Anolis sagrei: one gene and its partners. Each later gene encodes a partner of the first gene's protein in a complex. Links are inferred from orthologs where the notes say so. Each region holds a gene or a part of one and is shown on either strand. Other genes may lie near its edges.

Region 1 (7,127 bases):
AGCCACGGGACTCCCTCCAACAACAGATCTGGATGAAAATTGGCACACATACCCCCCATGACCAACTTTAAGCACTGGCGGTATTCAGAGGGAATGGCCCTGGGACGATGGAATCTGCAGTTCACTCACATGCAGACATCACTGTGAACCACACTGTTTTAGTCTTAAGACCTGAACCCCATCTCCAAGAAATGACATTATATACATGTATGTAAAAACAGATACACCAAAAATTCAAAAGGAAAAACTCAAAGCACTTCTGCTCCCAAGAATTTCTGATAACGGATAATCAGCCTGAGACTGTTGCAATAGCCAACCTCTCCTTTCTGATGGTTCGACATACAAAAACTTGGTTTCAAGCACAAAAGCCATATACAAAATTACCTTCAGATATATGAAGCATAAATGAATTCTGTGTTTATATTTTGACGCCATCTCCAAGTTATCTTACTATATATGTGTAAGTACAATACACATATGCATATGTACAAGTATTCCAAAATCTTCGTTTCAGGCACATTATTTTAGATTTTAAAATTAAAATCATATATAAAATAGCCTTCGGGCTCTGTGTATTATTATTATTATTATATTTCTTTAATACCCCGCTTTATGCCTCCAGAAGGGGACTCAAAGCGGCTTAACATAAAAACATTAGCACAGCATTTAAAATATACAAATATTAAACCAGAATTGAATATAAACAGATTAAACCACCCAAATCTATTTGATGCATATTAAAAGCTAAAACCACAACACCTCCTGAATTGATCTTAAAAACCTTCATCTTGAAAAGTCTGCCTGAATTTTGTAATTAAGCATTGACCCCCCCCCCCCCCCCAGGGTATCTCACAATATACAGATTTACTGAAATCTGGTTAGGGGGACCCTCAAAATCCAAAATCCTTCCAGTCCCAAGCATTTCAGATAAGGTGTGCTCAACCTGTACCATGTACCATGGTCTGTTACAATCAGCCTCTGCTTCCTGATAGTTCAGCTTTCTAATGTGTAACAGATATAAACTTTGGGTTGCGCTATGGTTTCTGGGCTGTATGACCATGTTCCAGAAGCATTCTCTCCTGACGTTTCACCCACATCTATGGCAGGCATCCTCAGAGGTCATGAGGTCTGTTGGAAACCAGGCAAGTGAGGTTTATATATCTCTAGATGAACAAGATAAACAACAGGGATCCTCTCTCTTCAGCAGGGGTCTATAGTACTGTATACCACACAGCTGTGGACAAGACTACATAGAAACCACCAAACTCAGCATTGCCCAAACACAAATCCAGGAATCCAGGAACATGACTAATTCCACCAGAGATGTCAGCCACTTGATGGACCAACCTGCACACAGCATATTGTATGAGAACACAGAAATGCTGAACCACTAACAACCACAACATTTGATTTTATTGTTGATGATGTTTTTTATATTGTATATTGTAATTGTGTCCTTGGCGGCATTGAATTCTTGCCTTGTAAACTGCCTCGAGTCCCGGAATGCTAAGAGGGGCGGTATAGAAATGTACTAAATAAATAAATAAAATATGAAGAGAAGCCATTGAAATCCACAAGCATGTGGACAATTATTTATTTATTTATTTGCCTTGCTTATATACCGCTGTTCTCAGCCCGAAGGCGACTCACAGCGGTTCACAACAAATACGAACAGCAAAAATTCAGTGCTACAGTATTGAAACAGTTGACAACCTAACACATTACACATTACACGACCCATTCACTGTCATCTCGTCATCAAAAACATGTTCCAGATTCGTCATCCATTGTTCCATTCCAGTGTTCATTAACCAATCATTGCACTAATTATTCGAACGCCTGCTCAAACAGCCAGGTCTTCACTTTTTTGCGGAATACCATTAGAGATGGTGCTAGTCTAATGTCCGTAGGAAGGGCGTTCCACAGCCGAGGAGCCACCACGGAGAAGGCCCTATCTCTCGTCCCCGCCAGCTGAGCTTGAGAAGCAGGCGGGATCGAGAGCAGGGCCTCCCCGGAAGATCTCAAAGTCCTGGTGGGTTCATAGGCAGATCAACGGAATGGAAGAAACCATGAAAATGAAGAAAATCTGGCTACCAGTATTAAAAAAAAACCTCTGGAATCAGGACAGTAAATAAGGGGGAACACTCAGAAAACTGGCAATTCCAGACAGAAAACAATCAGGGCCAGCTAACACATCCCAACAAAGGATTCCAAGAAAGAAGCAGCCAGGCTTTGAAGCTGCAAGGCTATTCAATGCTAATCAAGCTAGCCAACTGCAACATTCAGGCTTTCCTGAAACAGACAAGAGTCCTTTCTCTCACCTTGGACATTCCACAGATATATAAACCCCACCTGCTTAGTTTCCAACAAACCCCTCAACCTCTGAGGATGCCTGCCATAGAAGTGGGAGAAATGTCAGGAGAGAATACTTCTGGAACATGGCCAGACAGCCCGGAAAACTCACAGCAACCCAGTGATTCCGGCCATGAAGGCATAAACTTTGTTTCATGCACAAAATTGTTTTTGGAAACTGCGTATAAATGGGGAGAGAGAGGCTCGGGGCCCTCTCCGTGCCTCAGGCCGCCCTCCTCCCTCCAGCCATGGCGTTACCTTGCGGACCCCCTTGTAGATGTAGAAGTAGAGCTCCCGGCCCACATTGAAGCAGAGCCGGTCGCCGTTCCCGCTCTGGTCGTTGACGTTGACGAAGGAGACGCGGACGGGGTTGGAGCCCTGCGAATTGAAGGGCACTCGGTTGGGCCGGCTGTACTCGGAGTGGCTGAGCAGCTTGTAGAGCCCCTCGCGGGTGGTAAACTGGGTCTTAATCTCGTTCATCTCCTTCCCTCCTCCCTCCGCCGCCATCTTGGAAAGGAGCATTCATCCTGTGGCCAGGCCCCGGATGTAAGGGCCAGTGCGCAGGCGCGCGAAAAGGCGGAGAGGAACTCGCCTTTCCCCTTCGGTCCCAGCGCGGAAGAAGGGAAGCCCACGGAGCGCTCGCGCCCGGGATGGAAGGGGGCGGGGCCTAAGAGCCCTTCCCCTGTTTACCGCGCCTCTGCGCGTGCGCCGGAGGGGGACCTCTGAAAGCCATGGGTAGCAGTGCGCATGCGCAGAAGGAGATGTCACTTCCTTGTAGTGTTGTGGGAACTGGAGTGGGGAAAGGAGTGCGTTTGTGTGTACGTATTTATATGAATACTAGCTGTTCCCTGCCACGCGTTGCTGTGGCCCACATGAGGGTTCTGTGTGGGAGGTTTGGCCCAATTCTATTATTGGTGGAATTCAGAATGCTCTGTGAATAATTGTAGGTGTTGCGGGAACTGGAATGGGGAAAGGAGTGCGTTTGTGTGTATGTATTTATATGAATATACAGCGAGCCCCCCCCAAAAGACAACCAAAACAATGTATAATTCTGTCTTTCTTGATCCCACCAAAGAATGTATACATAATAATGTTTTTAAATAGTAGACACAAATTTATTTATTTATTTATTATTTTTATTATTATTAAACTTTATTTGTACCCCGCTAGCATCTCCCAAAGGACTCGATGCGGCTTACAAAGGCCAAGGCTTCAACATAACAATACACTTAGGCAAATTTATTTATTTGTCGTGTCAGAACAACCAGTCTAACAGAACAAAGCAAACAAACAGAAAAATACACATCTTGTGAGTTTGGGGTAATTGATTAAATGTCCTTTGACCAGTATCTGGCCACTTGGAGTGCTTCCGGTGTTGCTGCAAGAAGGTCCTCCATTGTGCATGTGACAGGGCTCAGGTTGGATTGCAGCAGGTGGTCAGTGGTTTGCTCTTCTCCACACTCGCACGTCGAGGATTCCACTTTGTAGCCCCATTTCTGAAGGTTGGCTCTGCATCTCGTGGTGCCAGAGCGCAGTCTGTTCAATGCCTTCCAAGTCGCCCAGTCTTCTGTGTGCCCAGGAGGGAGTCTCTCATTTGGTATCAGCCATTGGTTGAGGTGCTGGGTTTGAGCCTGCCACTTTTGGACTCTCGCTTACTGAGGTGTTCCAGCGAGTGTCTCTGTAGATCTTAGAAAACTATGTCTAGATTTAAGTCGTTGGCGTGCTGGCTGATACCCAAACAGGGGATGAGCTGGAGATGTCTCTGCCTTGGTCCTTTCACTATTGGCTGCTACTTCCCGGCGGATGCCAGGTGGTGCAATACCGGCTAAGCAGTGTAATTTCTCCAGTGGTGTAGGGCGCAGACACCCCGTGATAATGCGGCATGTCTCATTAAGAGCCACGTCCACTGTTTTAGTATGGTGAGATGTGTTCCACACTGGGCATGCATACTCAGCAGCAGAGTAGCACAGTGCAAGGGCAGATGTCTTCACTGTAATTTAGGCAAATTAAAAACAATTAAAGCAGTATTAAAACAACAAAGCCACAAGCAATAAACAATACATCAACAAGATAAAACTGGGCCAGGCCAGAGTAGAGGGTACAGGATTAAAAAGTGCTGATGTGACGTGATATTATAGGGCAAGTGCAGTGTGCAGTGTGCTGCAGTCTTAAATTCTAATAAAGTGCTTCTGGGACTATGTATTGAAGATTTCCTAATCAGGAAAGGCACATCGGAACAGCCAGGTCTTCAAATTCTTTCTGAAGACTGCCAATGTAGGGGCCTGTCTAAGATCTTTGGGGAGAGTGTTCCAGAGACAGGGGGCCACCACGGAAAAGGCCCTGTCTCGTGTTCCCACCAAATGTGCTTGCGATGCAGGCGGGATCACGAGCAGGGCCTCTCCAGATGAGCGTAATGAACGCGTGGGTTCGTAGATGGAGATGCGGTCACACAGGTAGGGTGGTCCCAAACCATTTAGGGCTTTGTAGGTAAGCACCTGCACCTTAAATTGGGCTCGGAATTTATTATTTAAACTTATATGCCGCCACTCCCCTGGGGCTCGGAGCGGCTTACAAGAATGGCTAAAATCTAACAAAATTTAAAAGCAATTTAAAACAATTTAAAAACAGCAATATCAAACATTAAAAGCCTGTCAAAACAGGTATGTCTTACATGCCCTGCGGAAAGCTGGTAAATCCCGCAAGGCACAGACTTCAGGGGTTGGTAGGGGTGAGGCGGTCCCTCAGATACATCGGCTCCAGACCATGAAAGGCCTTAAAGGTGAGTACCATCACTTTGAAAGTGATCCGGTGCTCAATTGGTAACCAATGCAGCTGTAGTAAGATTGGTGTTATGTGGCATCTCATCGGAATTCCCGCAAGAAGCTGAGCAGCTGCATTTGTACCAACTTGAGCTTCCGGATCACCGACAGAGGAAGGCCAATGTAGAGGGCGTTACAGTAGTCCAGTCTTGAGATGACCGTGACCTGGATCACCGTAGCTAGGTCGTCCCTGGACAGGTAGGGGGCCAGCCGTCTAGCCTGTCGCAGATGAAAGAAGGCGGTTCTACTAACAGCGGAGACCTGGGCCTCCATCGTCAGCAGAGGGTCCAAAAGGACTCTCAGACTCTTTACCAATGATGACGGGCGTAACGCCTCGCCATCCAGGGTAGGCAGCTGGATGTCCCCACTGCCCGGTCGACCCAGCCATAGGATCTCCGTCTTTGCTGGATTCACCCTCAACCTGCTGGCACGCAGCCATCCGGTAACAGCCTCAAGGCACTGATGGAAACAATCGGGTACAGAGTCCGGTCGGCCTTCCATCTTCAGCACCAGCTGAGTGTCATCGGCGTACTGATAACACTCAAGCCCCAAACCTCGAACCAGCTGAGCAAGTGGTCGCATATAGATGTTAAATAACAGAGGGGAGAGAATGGCCCCCTGAGGAACCCCACAAGATAGAGGCCTCCCCTCTCCAGGCCTCCCCTCTCCACTCACTGTCCACAGTTGTGAAGAAAGGAGGATAGCCAGTTTAAAGCTGACCCCCTGATTCCAGCAACAGCAAGGCGGTGGGTCAAGAGATTGTGGTCGACTGTGTCAAATGCTGCTGTGAGATCCAATAACACAAGCAGCGCTGACCCGCCCTGGTCAAGCTGGCATCGAAGGTGATCCGTGATGGAGACCAGCACAGTCTCTGTCCCGTGCCCCACACGGAAGACAGATTGGAAGGGATCTAGTCCGGCTGTGTCGTCTAGGAATTGCTGCAACTGCTCCGCTGCTGCCCTCTCAATCATCTTGCCCAGGAACGAGAGATTCGAAACTGGGCGGTAACTGGAGGAAACCGAACAATCTAAGTCTGGTTTCTTCAGCAGGGGAGAGACCACCACCTCTTTTAAACCCTCTGGAAAAACTCCTTGCTCAAGGGAGCTGTTTATAATCTTCAACAGAGGGTTGCGTAATCCTTCCAAGCACGATTTCACCAACCAAGAGGGACACGGATCGAGGGAGCAAGTGGTCGGTCTAACTGCAGCTATGAGCTAAGGTCATGTGGCCAGCATGACCGCATGGATAGTGGTGACCTTCCTGTTGGAGTGGTACCTATTGATCTACCCACATTCACATGTTTCAAACTGCTAGGTTGGCAGAAACTGGGCCTAACAGCAGGAGCTCACCTCACTCCCCGGATTCAAACTGCTGACTTTTTGGTCAGCAAGTCCTGCAGCTTAGTGGTTTAACATACTGTGCCACAAGGGGCTGATATAATGTTATATAAGTTAAGGTAAAGGTTTCCCCTTGACATTAAGTCTAGTCGTGTCCAACTTTGGGGGTTGGTGCTCATTTCCATTTCTAAGCCGAAGAGCCAGCATTGTCCGTAGACGCCTCCAAGGTCATGTAGCCCGCATGTCTGCATGGAGCACTGTTACCTTCCTGCAGAAGTGGTACCTATTGATCTACTCATATTTGTGTGTTTTTGAACTGCTAGGTTAGCAGAAGCTGGGGCTAACAACAGGAGCTCACCCTGCTCCCCGGATTTGAACTGCCAACCTTTTAGTCAAGAAGTTCATTGGTTTAACCCGCTGCACTACCAGGGGGCCTTCATAGCTGATAATTCTGGACTTTGTTTGGTGGTTCCCCCATTAAAATGTATATGCCAGGGGTCCTCAAACTAAGGCCTGAGGGCCGGATACGGCCCTCCAAGGTCATTTACCCAGCCCTCGCTCAGGGTCAACCCAAGACTGAAACGACTTGAAAGCACACAACAACAACAACAATCCTATC
Region 2 (7,222 bases), on another chromosome or scaffold:
TTCAGAAAAACATCTATTTTTGCTTCATTGACTATTCTAAAGCCTTTGACTGTGTGGATCATAATAAACTGTGGCAAGTTCTTGGTGGGATGGGCATCCCAAGCCACCTTGTCTCTCTCCTGAGGAATCTGTACAAGGACCAAGTAGCAACAGTCAGAACTGACCACGGAACAACAGACTGGTTCAAGATTGGGAAAGGCGTACGGCAAGGCTGCATCCTCTCACCCAACCTTTTTAACTTGTATGCAGAACTCATCATGCGATGTGCGGGGCTTGATGAATGCAAAGCCGGGGTGAAAATTGCTGGAAGAAACATTAACAACCTCAGATATGCAGATGACACCACTCTGATGGCCGAAAGCGAGGAGGAGCTGAGGAGCCTTCTAATCAAGGTGAAAGAAGAAACCGCAAAAGCTGGGTTGCAGCTAAACATTAAAAAAAAAAAACCAAGATTATGGCAACAAGAATGATTGACAACTGGGAAATAGAGGGAGAAAACGTGGAGGCCGTGACAGACTTTGTATTTCTAGACGCTTACTTCTTGGGAGGAGAGCAATGTCCAGTCTCGATAAAATAGTAAAGAGTAGAGACATCAGACTGGCAACAAAGATCTGCCTAGTCAAAGCCATGGTATTCCCTGTAGTAACCTACGGATGTGAGAGCTAGACCTTAGGGAAGGCTGAGCGAAGGAAGATAGATGCTTTTGAGCTGTGGTGTTGGAGGAAAGTTCTGAGAGTGCCTTGGACTGCGAGAAGATCCAACCAGTCCATCCTCCAGGAAATAAAGCCCGACTGCTCATTGGAGGGAAGGATACTAGAGACAAAGTTGAAGTAATTTGGCCACATCATGAGGAGACAGCAAGGCCTAGAGAAGACAATTATGCTGGGGAAAGTGGAAGGCAAAAGGAAGAGGGGCCGACCAAGGACAAGATGGATGGATGGCATCCTCAAAGTGACTGGACTGACCTTGAAGGAGCTGGGGGTGGTGACGGCCGACAGGGAGCTCTGGCGTGGACTGGTCCATGAGGTCACGAAGAGTCGGAGACGACTGAACAAATGAACAACAACAAGATCCATGTCTAAATGGACCTTGGGCAAGATTGTTTCTGTTGGCTCCCTCTTGAAGGTCAGAAGATTTTTTTGAGGTTATATGACAGCAGCAATAGTCAAACTTCGAAGGTGATGAGAATTACAAATGTAATTTTCCACAATGCTCTGGAAAGTCTGACTTTGTTGTGATGCCATGCCTAGCCCTCCCCCATGTCAATAAAATAGATCTGTGAAGAGCTCACAATGCTTTGGAAGCCGGTGTCTTGGAAGTTGGATATCAATTGATAATGGGTTAGTGGCATGGGTAATAGGCAATGTCCTCTTCTGAAAGAAGAATGGGGGAAAAAAGAATTGCAGATTTGTAGTCTTATTACATACACTCATTTGGAAGTTCTTTTTCACAATAATTCACAATGAGGGTGTTGTGTGGTTTCAGGACTGTATGGCCGTTTTCCAGCAGCATTTTCTTCTGATGTTTTGTGTTCTGCACTGAAGATGCCAGCCACAGATGCAAGTGAAATATCAGGAGAAAATGCTTCTAGAACACGATCATACAGCCCAGAAACTTCTTATACGAAAGCTGAATGGAACAACCTGAGGATCACAACCAGATACAGTGAAGACATCTGCTCTTGCGCTATGCTACTCTGCTGCTGAGTATGCATGCCCAGTGCAGAACACATCTCACCACACTAAAACAGTGGATGTGGCTCTTAATGAGACATGCTGCATTATCACAGGGTATCTGCGCCTTCCACCACTGGAGAAATTACACTGTTTAGCTGGTATTGCACCACCTGACATCCGCCGGAAAGTGGCAGCCAATAGTGAAAGGACCAAAGGCAGTGACATCTCCAGCTTGTTTGGGCATCAGCCAGCATGTCAATGACTTAAATCAAGAAATAGTTTTCTAAGATCTACAGAGACATTCGCTGGAACACCTCAGCAAGCGAGAGTCCAAAAGTGGCAGGCTCAAACCCAGAACCTCAACCAGTGGCTGATACCAAATGAGAGACTCCCCCCTGGGCACACAGAAGACTGGGCAACTTGGAAGGCGCTGAACAGACTGCGCTCTGGCACCACAAGATGCAGAACTAATCTTAAGAAATGGGGCTACAAAGTGGAATCCACGACATACGAGTGTGGAGAGAAGCAAACCACTGACCACCTGCTGCAATGCAACCTGAGCCCTGCCACATGCACGATGAAGGACCTTCTTGCGGCAACCCCAGAGGCACTCCAAGTGGCCAGATACTGGTCAAAGGACATTTAACCAACTACCAAATTCGCAAAATCTGTGTGGTTTTTTTTCTTTTTCTTTTTAATCTCAGTGTTTTGTTCTGCTCTGTTAGAATTGTAATACAATGGTTGCTGATGACACGATAAATAATAAATAGTTCACCTACAATCACAGAGCATTCTGAACCCCACCAACTATGGAATTGAACCAAACTTGGCACAACAGAAAATACTGGAAGGCTTTGGTGGGCAGTGCCCTTTGGTTTTGGAGTTGTAGTTCACCTACATCCAGAGAGCACTTTGGACTCAAACAGTGATGGATCTGGACCAAACTTGGCACGAATACTCAATATCCCCAAATGTGAACATTAGTGAAATTTGGGGAAAATAGACCTTGACCTTTGGGAGTTGTAGTTACTGGGATTTATAGTTCACCTATAATCAAAGAGTATTCTGAACTCCACTAACAATAGAACTGGGCACACAGAACCCCCATGACCAACAGAAAATACTGTGTTTTCTGATGGTCTTTGGCGACTCCTCTGATGCCCCCTCACGACCCCCCCAGGGGTCCTGACCCCCAGGTTGAGAAATGCTGCTCTATGTACACATAATAAAATACATAACAAAAGCCAATAATTATATATAGTTAAAACATTAAGTCAATATAATTAAAAACTGCTAACAATACCAGTCTAGTGGCCATTATCTAGCTGAATTCTGTGGTTGGAGACTCCATCAAACTTATCCATAGTCCATTATCATAGTCATTGTCATCATTGCCATTGTCCGCATAGTTACTCAAATGCCTGGTCCCACATCCATGTTTTTAATTTCTTTCTAAAGGAGAGGAGGGATGAAGATAACCTAATTTCCCTGGGGAGTGAATTCCACAGGTGGGGGCCACCACCAAGAAGGCCCTGTTCCTTGTCCCCACCAAGCCCGTTTGAGACAGAGGTGGGGCCGAGAGCAGGGCCTCCCCAGAAGATCTTAAGCTCCAAGATGAGACATAGAAAGAGCTACGTTTGGACAGGTACACTGGGCTGGAACCGTATAGGGTTTTATAGGTCAAAACCAGCACTTTGAATTGTGCTCGGAACTGGATCGGCAGCAAGTTCAAAGCAGATATTGTGGGATTTTCTGTCTTGATATTCTGGGATATAGTGCTGTGTGGAAGGGCCCCTACAATTAAATAGTCATAACTGCCATGTATTCATGATCTTGATGTAGTGCCTTTTGGGGACCTTGAAAGTCTCCCAAATCCCACTTACTGGTAGGCAGCTGTTGGTATCAATATGGAGCTCTCCCCCTGTTGATCAGCCATCCCTCAGATGGGAGGGGAATTCACCTACGTAACTGGTGGACTTTGGGGAAAATAGAATCTTGACATTTGGGAATTGTAGTTGCTGGGATTTATAGTTCACCTGCAATCAAAGAGCATTCTGAACCTCACCAACGATAGAATTGGGCCAAACATCCCACACAGAACTCCCATGTGGGCCACAGCAAAGCGTGGCAGGGGACGGCTAGTAAACTATAAATATTGTGAAATTATGGTTTGTTTCTCATAGTGACACCCCACCTGAGTTATACTCAGTTTTTGGGCGAATTTTAACACACCAAGCTCAAAAGGTTGCCCATCACTGGCCTAAGACAATTTGGGGTCTCCTGCAACAGGGCAAACGTTGTCAACAGACAGCAGGCATCAAGTGGCAAGGCCTCATTAGATGTAATTGTAGAAGAAGCCTTAATTATTATTTTTTCTGGAGGAACTCAAGCCAAACCCAGGCCAAGGTCCCTTTCCCCCTAAAACTCTTCTCCTCTTGGGTGCCCCAGTGGGTGGGACCATCCCCTTTGGCCTTCCGCGCCTCCCCATTGGCTGCCTCCCTCCAATTGGGCCAAGCGGTTGGTTGCCGGCCACGCCACTCGCGGGGATTGACCTTCCCTTGTTTTCAATGCCGCTGTCAAAGTTGATCACTGGGGCGCTGCTCGGCGATGGAGAGAAGGGAAGAGGAGGAGGAGGAAGAGGAAGGAGAAGAAGAGGAAGCGGGAGAGGGGGATTAGTAGTAGTCCAGTCCTAGCCAGGACACAGCGGATCCCTGTAGATCTAGGCGATCGGTTCAGCAAATAAGGAGAGGGCTAGGGAGGCGGCGCAGTGGAGAGAGAGGAAGGAGCAGCCGGCAAAGGCAGAGAAGGAAGGGCTGGAGGCTTGGCTCATCCCTCTCTCTCTCTCTCTTCCCGCCGTCTGATCCTCGGATCCCCAAGCTAGAGCTTTCCTCCTGCCCCTGTCTCTCTTTCCTCCTCCTCTTCCTCCCCCCCCCCCTTCCCCCAACCATGACCGTTTCGGGTTTCACCTCATAAAGATGGCGGTGGGGGATCGCTGCAACCTTTAGACTCATGACTGTCAGAAACATCGCCTCCATTTGTAATATGGTGAGTACTGGAGGGCAAGGGCTCTGCTATGATTCTTTTTGGGAGGAGGAGGGGGATCGGATTTTGCACAAAAAGCAGGAGGTGGGGCTCCTTCTTGCCAGATTTCCAGCACCGCCCTTTTCCTGAGAGTAAGGGGCCGCCCAACCCTGAGGAGTCCTCCTTGCACAAGGCAAAACCCCGCCTTTTCCAGGAATGGCCCCTCATAGGTGGGATCTGCACTCCAAACCGCCCAGAGTTATGTCTCTAAGGGTGCATCTGCATTGTTGAATTGATGCACTTTGGCACCACTTTTCACTGCCTTGGCTCAATGCTGTGGGATCTTGAGAAATGTAGTTTGACAAGGGCCCCTTTCCACATCTGTATAAAACTCCACATTATCTGCTTTGAAGTGGATTATATGCCAGTGTCGACTACAATAACTCAGTTCAAAGCAGATATTCAAAGCAGGTTTGGAAGTGATCCTGGACTCATCGCTGAGCCTGGAACCCCAGGTCGTGGCGGTGGCCGGGAGAGCTTTCGCACAATTAAAACTTGTGCGCCAGCTGCGCCCGTACCTTGGGAAGTCGGATCTGGCCACGGTGGTCCACGCTCTTGTTACATCCCGGTTAGATTACTGCAATGCACTCTACGTGGGGTTGCCTTTGAAGACTGTTCAGAAACTTCAATTAGTCCAGTGGGAGGCAACCAGACTGCTCACCGGAGCGTCATACAAGGAGCATACCACCCCCTGTTATGTCAGCTCCACTGGCTGCCAATCCAATTCCGAGCACAATTCAAAGTGCTGGTTTTGACCTACAAAACCCTATATGGTTCCGGCCCAGTGTATCTGTCCGAACGGCTCTCCTTCTACGTCCCACCTCGGAATCTAAGATCTTCTGGGGAGGCCTTGCTCTCGACCCTACCTCTATCACAAGTGAGATTGGCGGGGACGAGAAGCAGGGCCTTCTTGGTGGTGGCCCCTCACCTGTGGAATTCACTCCCGGGGGAAATTAGATCGGCAACATCCCTTCTTTCCTTCAGAAAAAAACTGACAACAGGGATTTGGGATCAGGCATTTGGACAACCTGGCAGATGAAAAAGGACGTGGCGATAGACTGGAATTGACAAATAGAATGGAATTATGGAACTCTGAAAGACGCACGCTGAGCTTGTGATTAGTTTTTAGTGATTGTGTTATATATTGATTGTTTAATTGTGATAAATGTTGATTGCTGTTTTTATATGTACATGTACTCTATGTAGGCATCGAATTGTGCCTTTTTTGTAAGCCGCCCTGAGTCCCCCCCTTGGGGTTTGAGAAGGGCGGGGTAAAAGTAACTGAAATAAATAAATAAATAAATAATAAACTTTATTTATATACCGCTTTATCTCCCCAAGGGGACTCAGAGCAGTTCCCAGGTAACATCACAAAACATACAGAGTAAAAACAACATAACCATAAGATTATCAAACAAAATATAAGCATAAAAATTGTCACCATAACACACATATATTAAAAGTAATCTTCGATGTTCAAGGCAATTAAAAATTTAAAAGGCCGGGCCAAGATTTGTGCAAGCCCAAAAATTCTTGCCCGGGAATTAAGTGCAATGCTATGGCAGGCAAAAATAATATTAGGTATGGGTCTGTGGCTGTTCATTCTGGGGCCCGAACCAGAAGGAGATGCGATCGCAGAGATAGGCAGGGCCCGAACTGTTTAGGGCTTTATAGGTCATGACCTGCACCTTGAGTTTGGCTCAGCAACTTATCGACAGCCAATGAAGCTGTTTTAAGAGGGGTGTTGTATGCTCCCTATAGTTTGCTCCAGTAAGGAGCCTGGCAGCCACCCGCTGTACCAGTTCAAACTTCCGGGCCGTCTTCAAGGGCAACCCCACATAGAGCGCATTGCAATAGTCCAGTTTGGATGTAACCAAGGCGTGGACCACCTTGGCCAAATCATAGCCTTGAGCTGTAGTGGCTAAAGTGGGCCCTATATTCCACAATATAGGGCCCTTCCACACAGCCCTATATCCCAGAATATCAAGGCAGAAAATTCCACAACATCTGCTTTGAACTGGGTTATCGGAGTCAGATGATGTGGGATTTCCTGCTTTGATATTCTGGGATATAGGGCTGTGTGGAAGGGCCCACAGATGCATGCTCTCTGTGTGTATTGGAAAAGGTGCAGAAAGGCAGCATCAAGCAAACAGGGATGATACTTGAAGTGTGTGAGGCATATAATCCAGATTATCAAACTAGATAAGCCTCATTATATGCTTTGAACTGGATTATATGAGTCAACACTGCCATATAATCCAGTTCAAAGCAGTCAATCTGGATTTTATATGGCAGTGTAGAAGGATTATCAATGCAGACAACAACAGCAACAACAATAAACTTTATTTATATACTGCTCTATCTCCCCGAGGAGGGCTCAGGGTGGTTTCCAAGTAAGATCACCAAAACATACAGAGTAAACAGCATGACATAAAATTAACAAAACAAATTAGCATAAAATTATC
Region 3 (7,177 bases), on another chromosome or scaffold:
TGCACCAGCTCGTGAAGTCAGATCTGATCATGGTGGTCCATGCCTTAGTCACCTCCAGACTGGATTACTGCAATGAACTCTACGTGGTGCTGCCCTTGAAGACGGCTCGGAAATTTTAATTGGTTTAACAGGCTGCAGTCAGGCTCCTAACTGGAGTGACTTACAGAGAGTGGTTAACCCCTGTTTAAGGAGCTCCATTGGCTGCCCTTCATTTCCGGTCCCAATTCAAGGTGCAGGTTCTTACCGACAAAGCCTTGAACGATTTGGGACCCGTCTACCTATGCGACCACATTTCTGTTTATGTACCCACGCGATCTCTTTGTTCATCTGCGGAGGCCCTGCTCTCGCTCCCACCCTCTTCGCAGGCCTGATTGGTGGAGACGAGGGAGAGGGCCTTCTCTATGGTGGCCCCCCGACTCTGGAATTCTCTACCTAAAGATATCAGACAAGCTCCCACCTTGGCAGTCTTTAGGAGGAGATTGAAAACATGGCTGTTCCAGTGTGCCTTCTCTGAATGAAGAAAATAATGCCCGATCTGACCAATTTCCTTCCATATGTCCTCTGAAGCACTTTATCTATCTGTTGGATTGATTCCTCCCATATCACTCTTTAAAACCCCCCATGCCTAGACATACCCTACTCTGTACACATCCAGGGTTTTAAAATTTTAATCTACATCTGGTCTTGCAATAATGCTTTTAAATCTTTTGTGTGCTATTGCTTATATGTTTAACTGTATTATTTATATTGTTTTATTTGCTTGCTTGTTTATTGATGTATTATTGTATTTGTATTTGACGGGCTTGTCCTCATGTAAGCCGCCCTGAGTCCCTTCGGGGAGATGGTGGCGGAGTATAAATAAATATTATTATTATTATTATTATTATTATTATTATTATTATTATTACTAGTTGTCCTCTGCCATGCAGGTGCAATTGGTGGGGACGAGGGAGAGGGCTTTCACTATGGTGGCCTCCCGACTCTGGAACTCTCTACCTAAAGTTATCAGACAAGCTCCCACCTTGGCAGTCTTTAGGAGGAGATTGAAAACGTGGCTGTTCCAGTGTGCCTTCCCTGAATGAAGGAAATAATGCTTGATCTGACCAATTTCCTTCCATATGTCCTCTGAAGCACTTTATCTATCCGTTGGATTGATCCCCCCATATCACTCTTTAAAACCCCCCATGCCTAGACATACCCTACTCTGTACACACCCAGGATTTTAAAATTTTAATCTACATCTGGCCTTGCAATAATGCTTTTAAATCTTTTGTGTGCTATTGCTTATATGTTTAACTGCATTATTTATATTGTTTTATTTGCTTGTTTGTTTGTTGATGTATTGTTGTATTTGTATTTGATGGGCTTGTCCTCATGTAAGCCGCCCTGAGTCCCTTCGGGGAGATGGTGGCAAGGTATAAATAAAGTATTATTATTATTATTATCATTATCATTATTATCAGCTGTCCCCTGCCACACGTTGCTGTGGCCCAGTCTGTATATAAGTGTTTTGTGTGTGTGTGTGTGTATATATGTGTTTGCGTGTATATAATATATATATATATATATATATATATATATGTGGGTGTATATATGTGTGTGCATATGTGTATGTGAAGATGTGTATATGTGCATATATATTTGTGTGTTTATATGTAGATATGTATATTGTGTATATGTGTGATTGTCTATATGCATATTTGTGTTTATATATGTGTGCATGTGTATATTTGTGTGTGCATGTGTACATGAGTGTGTGTGCGTGTGTGTGTATATATATATGTGTGTGTGTATATGTATGTATGTGTGTGTATATATATATATATATGGATATAAGCACTTTATCTATCTGGATTGATCCCCCCATATCACTCTTTAAAACCCTCCCATGCGTAGACATACCCTACTCTGTTCACACCCAGGGTTTTGAAATTTTAATCTACATCTGGGTTTGTAATAATGCTTTAAAATCTTTTGTGTGCTATTGCTTATATGTTTAACTGTATTATTTATATTGTTTTATTTGCTTGCTTGTTTGTTGATGTATTGTTGTATTTGTATTTGACGGGCTTGTCCTCGTGTATGTGTGTGTATATATATGTGTGTGGGGGACCCGTTGGGGACCCCTCCCCCCCAGCACCAACTGCCGCTCTGGGCCAGAGCGAAGAAAGAGGGGCCAGGGGACAGTTCCACCTTGTCTCCTGTGCTATTCTAATAATATGTTATAATATAATATATTGTATATACATATAATATTTATAATATTGTAATGTAATGCAATATAATACTAGTAATTGTTTTTAAATGCATAATGATTTTGTATTCTGTATATCTAAACTGTTGTAAACCGCTCTGAGTGGCTTAAGGGCTGAGAAGAGCGGTATACAAATAAAGTAAATAAATAAAATATGGATATGGATACACACACACACACATATATGGTATATTTTTGGGTTTTTTAAGTCAGTTCTGCTAGGAGTTTTGTTGGTTTTTGTAATTTTTGGGGTGATGAACACTCATTGCCCTTCATTTAGGGCTGTACTGTCCAAATTGTACTGTTTGTTAGGGCTGTACTGTCCAAATTTGGTGTCAATTCCCCCAGTGGTTTCTGAGTTCTGTTAATCCTACAAACCAGCATTACATTTGTATTTATATAGATTAAGGTTGAAAGGAGGAGGAGAAGGAGGAAGAGGAGCGAGGGAGAGAGGCAGGATGCTGAGGGAAGTTCTCCCGTTGCCACGGACAACGGAGGCCCCTGGGTCTTCCCGCCAAGCCGCCTCCCTCCTCTCCTCCTCCTCCCCGCACCTTGGCCCTCTTCCCCCTTCTCCTTCCTCCTCAGGGTCCAGGAGCCGGGCCTCGACCCTCCTAACCCTCGCCTCCCCCCCTCCGCCCTCGCCGGCCCTTCCTTTCGCCTCCCTCACCTGTACTTTCCGCCGCCCGGCCGTGTTCTGCCTGTGATGAGCCGCCATCTTGCATGTTGACACTCCGTCGTCATTTCCGGGTGGGGGGGAGGGGGGAGGAGGAGAGGCGTCCGCCGGCCCGGAAGTCCCGCCCCCGCTTGGTCTGGCTCTGCCTGTCAAGGGCTTCCCCTCTGTTCCTCAAACAAGCAGGCGGGAAGAAAGGGGCGTGGCTCCTGAGGGGTTGCTATGGCAGCCGTTATTACGAGCGGGCGCGGGGTTTTGCTTTTTCCCGTTTCTCTCTCTCTGTCTCTCGCGAGACTTGACTAGTGGCAGTTGAGTTTCCTGACTCAACAGAGCAAGTAGTCTGCCAAAGGTTGCTGTATCACAACAGCTCTAGTCAATGGGAAATGTTAATGACAGAAAGCTCAATAATAACTTCAATCTAGCTATCTATATACATAAAAATGTAATGTAAATAAAAACAGCAAAAACATCTTAATACCTCTCCACAAAAGATTCCCCCAGGCTCAGCCAGGCCTTCAAATGCTAATGAAGGTGGTCAGTTGAAACATTCACACCTAGCTCGGGCACATCTTAATACCTCTCCACAAAAGATTCCCCCAGGCTCAGCCTGGCCTTCAAATGCTAATGAAGGTGGTCAGTTGAAACATTCACACCTAGCTCGGGCACATCTTAATACCTCTCCACAAAAGATTCCCCCAGGCTCAGCCAGGCCTTCAAATGCTAATGAAGGTGATCACTTGATACATTCACACCTAGCTCGGGCACATCTTAATACCTCTCAACAAAAGATTCCCCCAGGCTCAGCCTGGCCTTCAAATGCTAATGAAGGTGGTCAGTTGAAACATTCACACCTAGCTCAGGCACATCTTAATACCTCTCCACAAAAGATTCCCCCAGGCTCAGCCAGGCCTTCAAATGCTAATGAAGGTGGTCACTTGAAACATTCACACCTAGCTCGGGCACATCTTAATACCTCTCCACAAAAGATTCCCCCAGGCTCAGCCAGGCCTTCAAATGCTAATGAAGGTGGTCACTTGAAACATTCACACCTAGCTCGGGCACATCTTAATACCTCTCCACAAAAGATTCCCTCAGGCTCAGCCAGGCCTTCAAATGCTAATGAAGGTGGTCAGTTGAAACATTCACACCTAGCTCGGGCACATCTTAATACCTCTCCACAAAAGATTCTCCCAGGCTCAGCCAGGTCTTCAAATGCTAATGAAGGTGGTCAGTTGAAACATTCACACCTAGCTCGAGCAGAGAAGAGCCCTTTGTCCCACCCTGGTCATTCCACAGATATATAAACCCATTTTCCAAATTCCAACAGACCTCACTACCTCTGAGGAGGCTTGCCATAGATGCAGGCGAAACGTCAGGAGAGAATGCCTCTAGAACATGGCCATACAGCCCGAAAAAACCTACAACAACCCGGTGATTCCGGCCATGAAAGCCTTCGACAATACAATGTAATGTTTGTTTGTGGGATTAACAGAACTCAAAAACCACTGGACGAATTGACACCAAGTTTGGACATAAGTCACCTAACAACCCAATGTATGTCCTTCACTAAAAAAAAAAAAATCTGATTTTGTCATTTGGGAGTTGTAGTTGTTGGGATTTATAGTTCACCTACAATCAAAGAGCATTCTGAATCCCACCAACGATGGATCTGGACCAAACTCTACAAGAATACTCAATAGGCCCAAATGTGAACACTGGTGGAGTTTGGGGAAATAGACGTTGACATTTGGGAGTTGTAGTTACTAGGATTTATAGTTCACCTACAATCAAAGAGCATTCTGAACCCCACCAATGATGGAATTCAACCAAACTTAGCACACAGGGCTCCCATGACCAACAGAAAAGACTGGAAGGGTTTGGTGGGTAGTGTCCTTTGGTTTTGGAGTTGTAGATCACCTACACCCAGAGAGCACTGTGGACTCAAACAACGATGGATCTGGACCAAACTTGGCACAAATATTCCATATGCCTAAATATGAACACAGATGGGAGTTTGGAAGAAATAGACCTTGACATTTGGGGGTTGTAGTTACTGGGATTTATAGTTCACCTACAATCAAAGAGCATTCTGAACTCCACCAATAATGGAATTGAACCAAACTTGGCATACAAGACTCCCATGACCAACAGAAAACATTAGAAGGGTTTGGTGGGCATTGACCTTGAGTTTGGGAGTTGTAACCCCAGCATTATTTTCAATTTTAATTCTACATTTGGCCTTCCCACATTTTTAATTGTGTGCTGTCTTATTGTTAATGTTGCATATCTTATTGTCCATGTTTTTTTTATTTTAATTGCTTGTATTGTTGTCATTATTGCGTGTATTGTATTTGGGCTCGGCCTCATGTAAGCCGCACCGAGTCCCTTGGAGAGATGGTAGCGAGGCACAAATAAAGTGTTGTTGTTGTTATTATTATTATTATTATTATTAGTTCATCTACATCCAGAGAACACTGTGGACTCAAACAATGATGGATCTGGAACAAACTTGGCACAAATATTCCATATGCCCAAATATGAACATGGAGTTTGAGGAAAATAGACGTCAACATTTGGGAGTTGTAGTTACTGGGATTTATAGTTCACCTACAATCAAAGAGCATTCTGAACTCCACCAATAATGGAATTGAACCAAACTTGGCATACAAGACTCCCATGACCAACAGAAAACATTAGAAGGGTTTGGTGGGCATTGACTTTGAGTTTGGGAGTTGTAACCCCAGCATTATTTTCAATTTTAATTCTACATTTGGCCTTCCCACATTTTTAATTGTGTGCTGTCTTATTGTTAATGTTGCATATCTTATTGTCCATGTTTTTTTTATTTTAATTGCTTGTATTGTTGTCATTATTGCGTGTATTGTATTTGGGCTCGGCCTCATGTAAGCCGCACCGAGTCCCTTGGAGAGATGGTAGCGAGGCACAAATAAAGTGTTGTTGTTGTTATTATTATTATTATTATTATTATTAGTTCATCTACATCCAGAGAACACTGTGGACTCAAACAATGATGGATCTGGAACAAACTTGGCACAAATATTCCATATGCCCAAATATGAACATGGAGTTTGAGGAAAATAGACGTCAACATTTGGGAGTTGTAGTTACTGGGATTTATAGTTCACCTACAATCAAAGAGCATTCTGAACCCCACCAATGGTGGAATTGGGGCAAACTTCCCACACAGAACCCCCATGACCAACAGAAAATACTTAAAGTCATTCAGTCCAACTCCCTTCACCAGGGCATGAAAACGTAGTCAAAGCCCTCCCGACAAAGAGCCATCCAGCCATAGATAGAGATAGATATATATGATTCACACACAGAGAAACAATAACATAGATTTGAAAGGGACCCCTAAAGAAGGACAATTATATGTTGCATGTCCCAGAGTAGGCAAACCAGACAATCTCCACATAAACACTGACAGAGAAACAGCAAGAAATACTGTTTGCCAACAAGCAGAAAGAATCATAGAATCATAGAATCAAAGAGTTGGAAGAGACCTCATGGGCCATCCAGTCCAACCCCCTTTCAAGAAGCAGGAATATTGCATTCAAATCACCCCTGACAGATGGCCATCCAGCCTCTGCTTTAAAGCCTCCAAAGAAGGAGCCTCCACCACACTCCGGGGCAGAGAGTTCCACTGCTGAACGGCTCTCACAGTCAGGAAGTTCTTCCTCACCAGACTGGGCCACAGCAATGCCTGACAGGGGGTGGCTAGTCTATATAAATAAAAATGTAATGTTTGTTTGTGGGATTAACAGAACTCAAAAACCACTGGATGAATTGCCACCAAATTTGGCCACAAGACACCTACTAACCCAAGAAGTGACCATTACTCAAAAAAATTTATTTTATCTTTTGGGAGTTGTAGTTGCTGGGATTTATAGTTCACCTACAATCAAAGAGCATTCTGAACTCCACCAATAATGGAATTGAACCAAACTTGGCATACAAGACTCCCATGACCAACAGAAAACACTAGAAGGGTTTGGTGGGCATTGACCTTGAGTTTGGGAGTTGTAGTTCATCTACATCCAGAGAACACTGTGGACTCAAACTATTATGGATCTGGAACAAACTTGGCACAAATATTCCATATGCTCAAATATGAACATGGAGTTTGGGGAAAATAGACGTTGACATTTGGGAGTTGTAGTTACTGGGATTTATAGTTCACCTACAATCCGAGCATTCTGAACACTACGAACAACAGACTTGGGCCAGAC

Evidence for each region. The genes of interacting proteins can lie anywhere in the genome.
Region 2: the proteins of WDR20 (region 1) and USP46 are in contact, whole or in part, in a crystal structure (PDB 6JLQ), measured with the Homo sapiens proteins. The link is inferred for Anolis sagrei from reciprocal best matches to the Homo sapiens genes WDR20 and USP46. Residues at the interface, in NP_653175.2 of Homo sapiens: Asn41, Ser42, Gly44, Arg151, Lys259, Tyr261, Phe262, Gly263, Glu282, Asp283, Asp284, Leu285, His301, Lys304, Ser305, Trp306, Gln374, Asp375, Thr376, Leu509, Arg516, Met517, His533, Glu534, Arg535; in NP_073743.2 of Homo sapiens: Asn205, Thr206, Ser207, Thr209, His210, Arg213, Arg273, Val275, Phe276, Pro277, Glu279, Leu280, Arg281, Phe283, Asp293, Met295, Gln338, Glu342, Tyr344, Thr347, Ser348.
Region 3: the proteins of WDR20 (region 1) and WDR48 are in contact, whole or in part, in a crystal structure (PDB 5K1C), measured with the Homo sapiens proteins. The link is inferred for Anolis sagrei from reciprocal best matches to the Homo sapiens genes WDR20 and WDR48. Residues at the interface, in NP_653175.2 of Homo sapiens: Arg20, Ser364, Thr384, Glu385, Asp386, Glu524, Pro525, Leu526; in NP_065890.1 of Homo sapiens: Val191, Lys207, Gly208, Gly240, Gln241, Gln242, Arg243, Cys244, Ile245.

Annotation. Positions count from the first base shown.
Region 1 is NC_090021.1:323,794,638-323,801,764, reverse strand, and holds the start of WDR20 (WD repeat-containing protein 20), read right to left. Parts: upstream 3,004-7,127; 5' UTR 2,875-3,003; coding exon 2,611-2,874; intron 1-2,610. UniProt on the Homo sapiens protein: Regulator of deubiquitinating complexes. Activates deubiquitinating activity of complexes containing USP12. Anchors at the base of the ubiquitin-contacting loop of USP12 and remotely modulates the catalytic center of the enzyme.
Region 2 is NC_090025.1:75,293,848-75,301,069, forward strand, and holds the start of USP46 (ubiquitin carboxyl-terminal hydrolase 46), read left to right. Parts: upstream 1-4,205; 5' UTR 4,206-4,685; coding exon 4,686-4,721; exon of another isoform or gene 4,722-4,734; intron 4,735-7,222. UniProt on the Homo sapiens protein: Deubiquitinating enzyme that plays a role in behavior, possibly by regulating GABA action. May act by mediating the deubiquitination of GAD1/GAD67.
Region 3 is NC_090026.1:123,938,476-123,945,652, reverse strand, and holds the start of WDR48 (WD repeat-containing protein 48), read right to left. Parts: upstream 3,018-7,177; 5' UTR 2,970-3,017; coding exon 2,922-2,969; intron 1-2,921. UniProt on the Homo sapiens protein: Regulator of deubiquitinating complexes, which acts as a strong activator of USP1, USP12 and USP46. Enhances the USP1-mediated deubiquitination of FANCD2; USP1 being almost inactive by itself.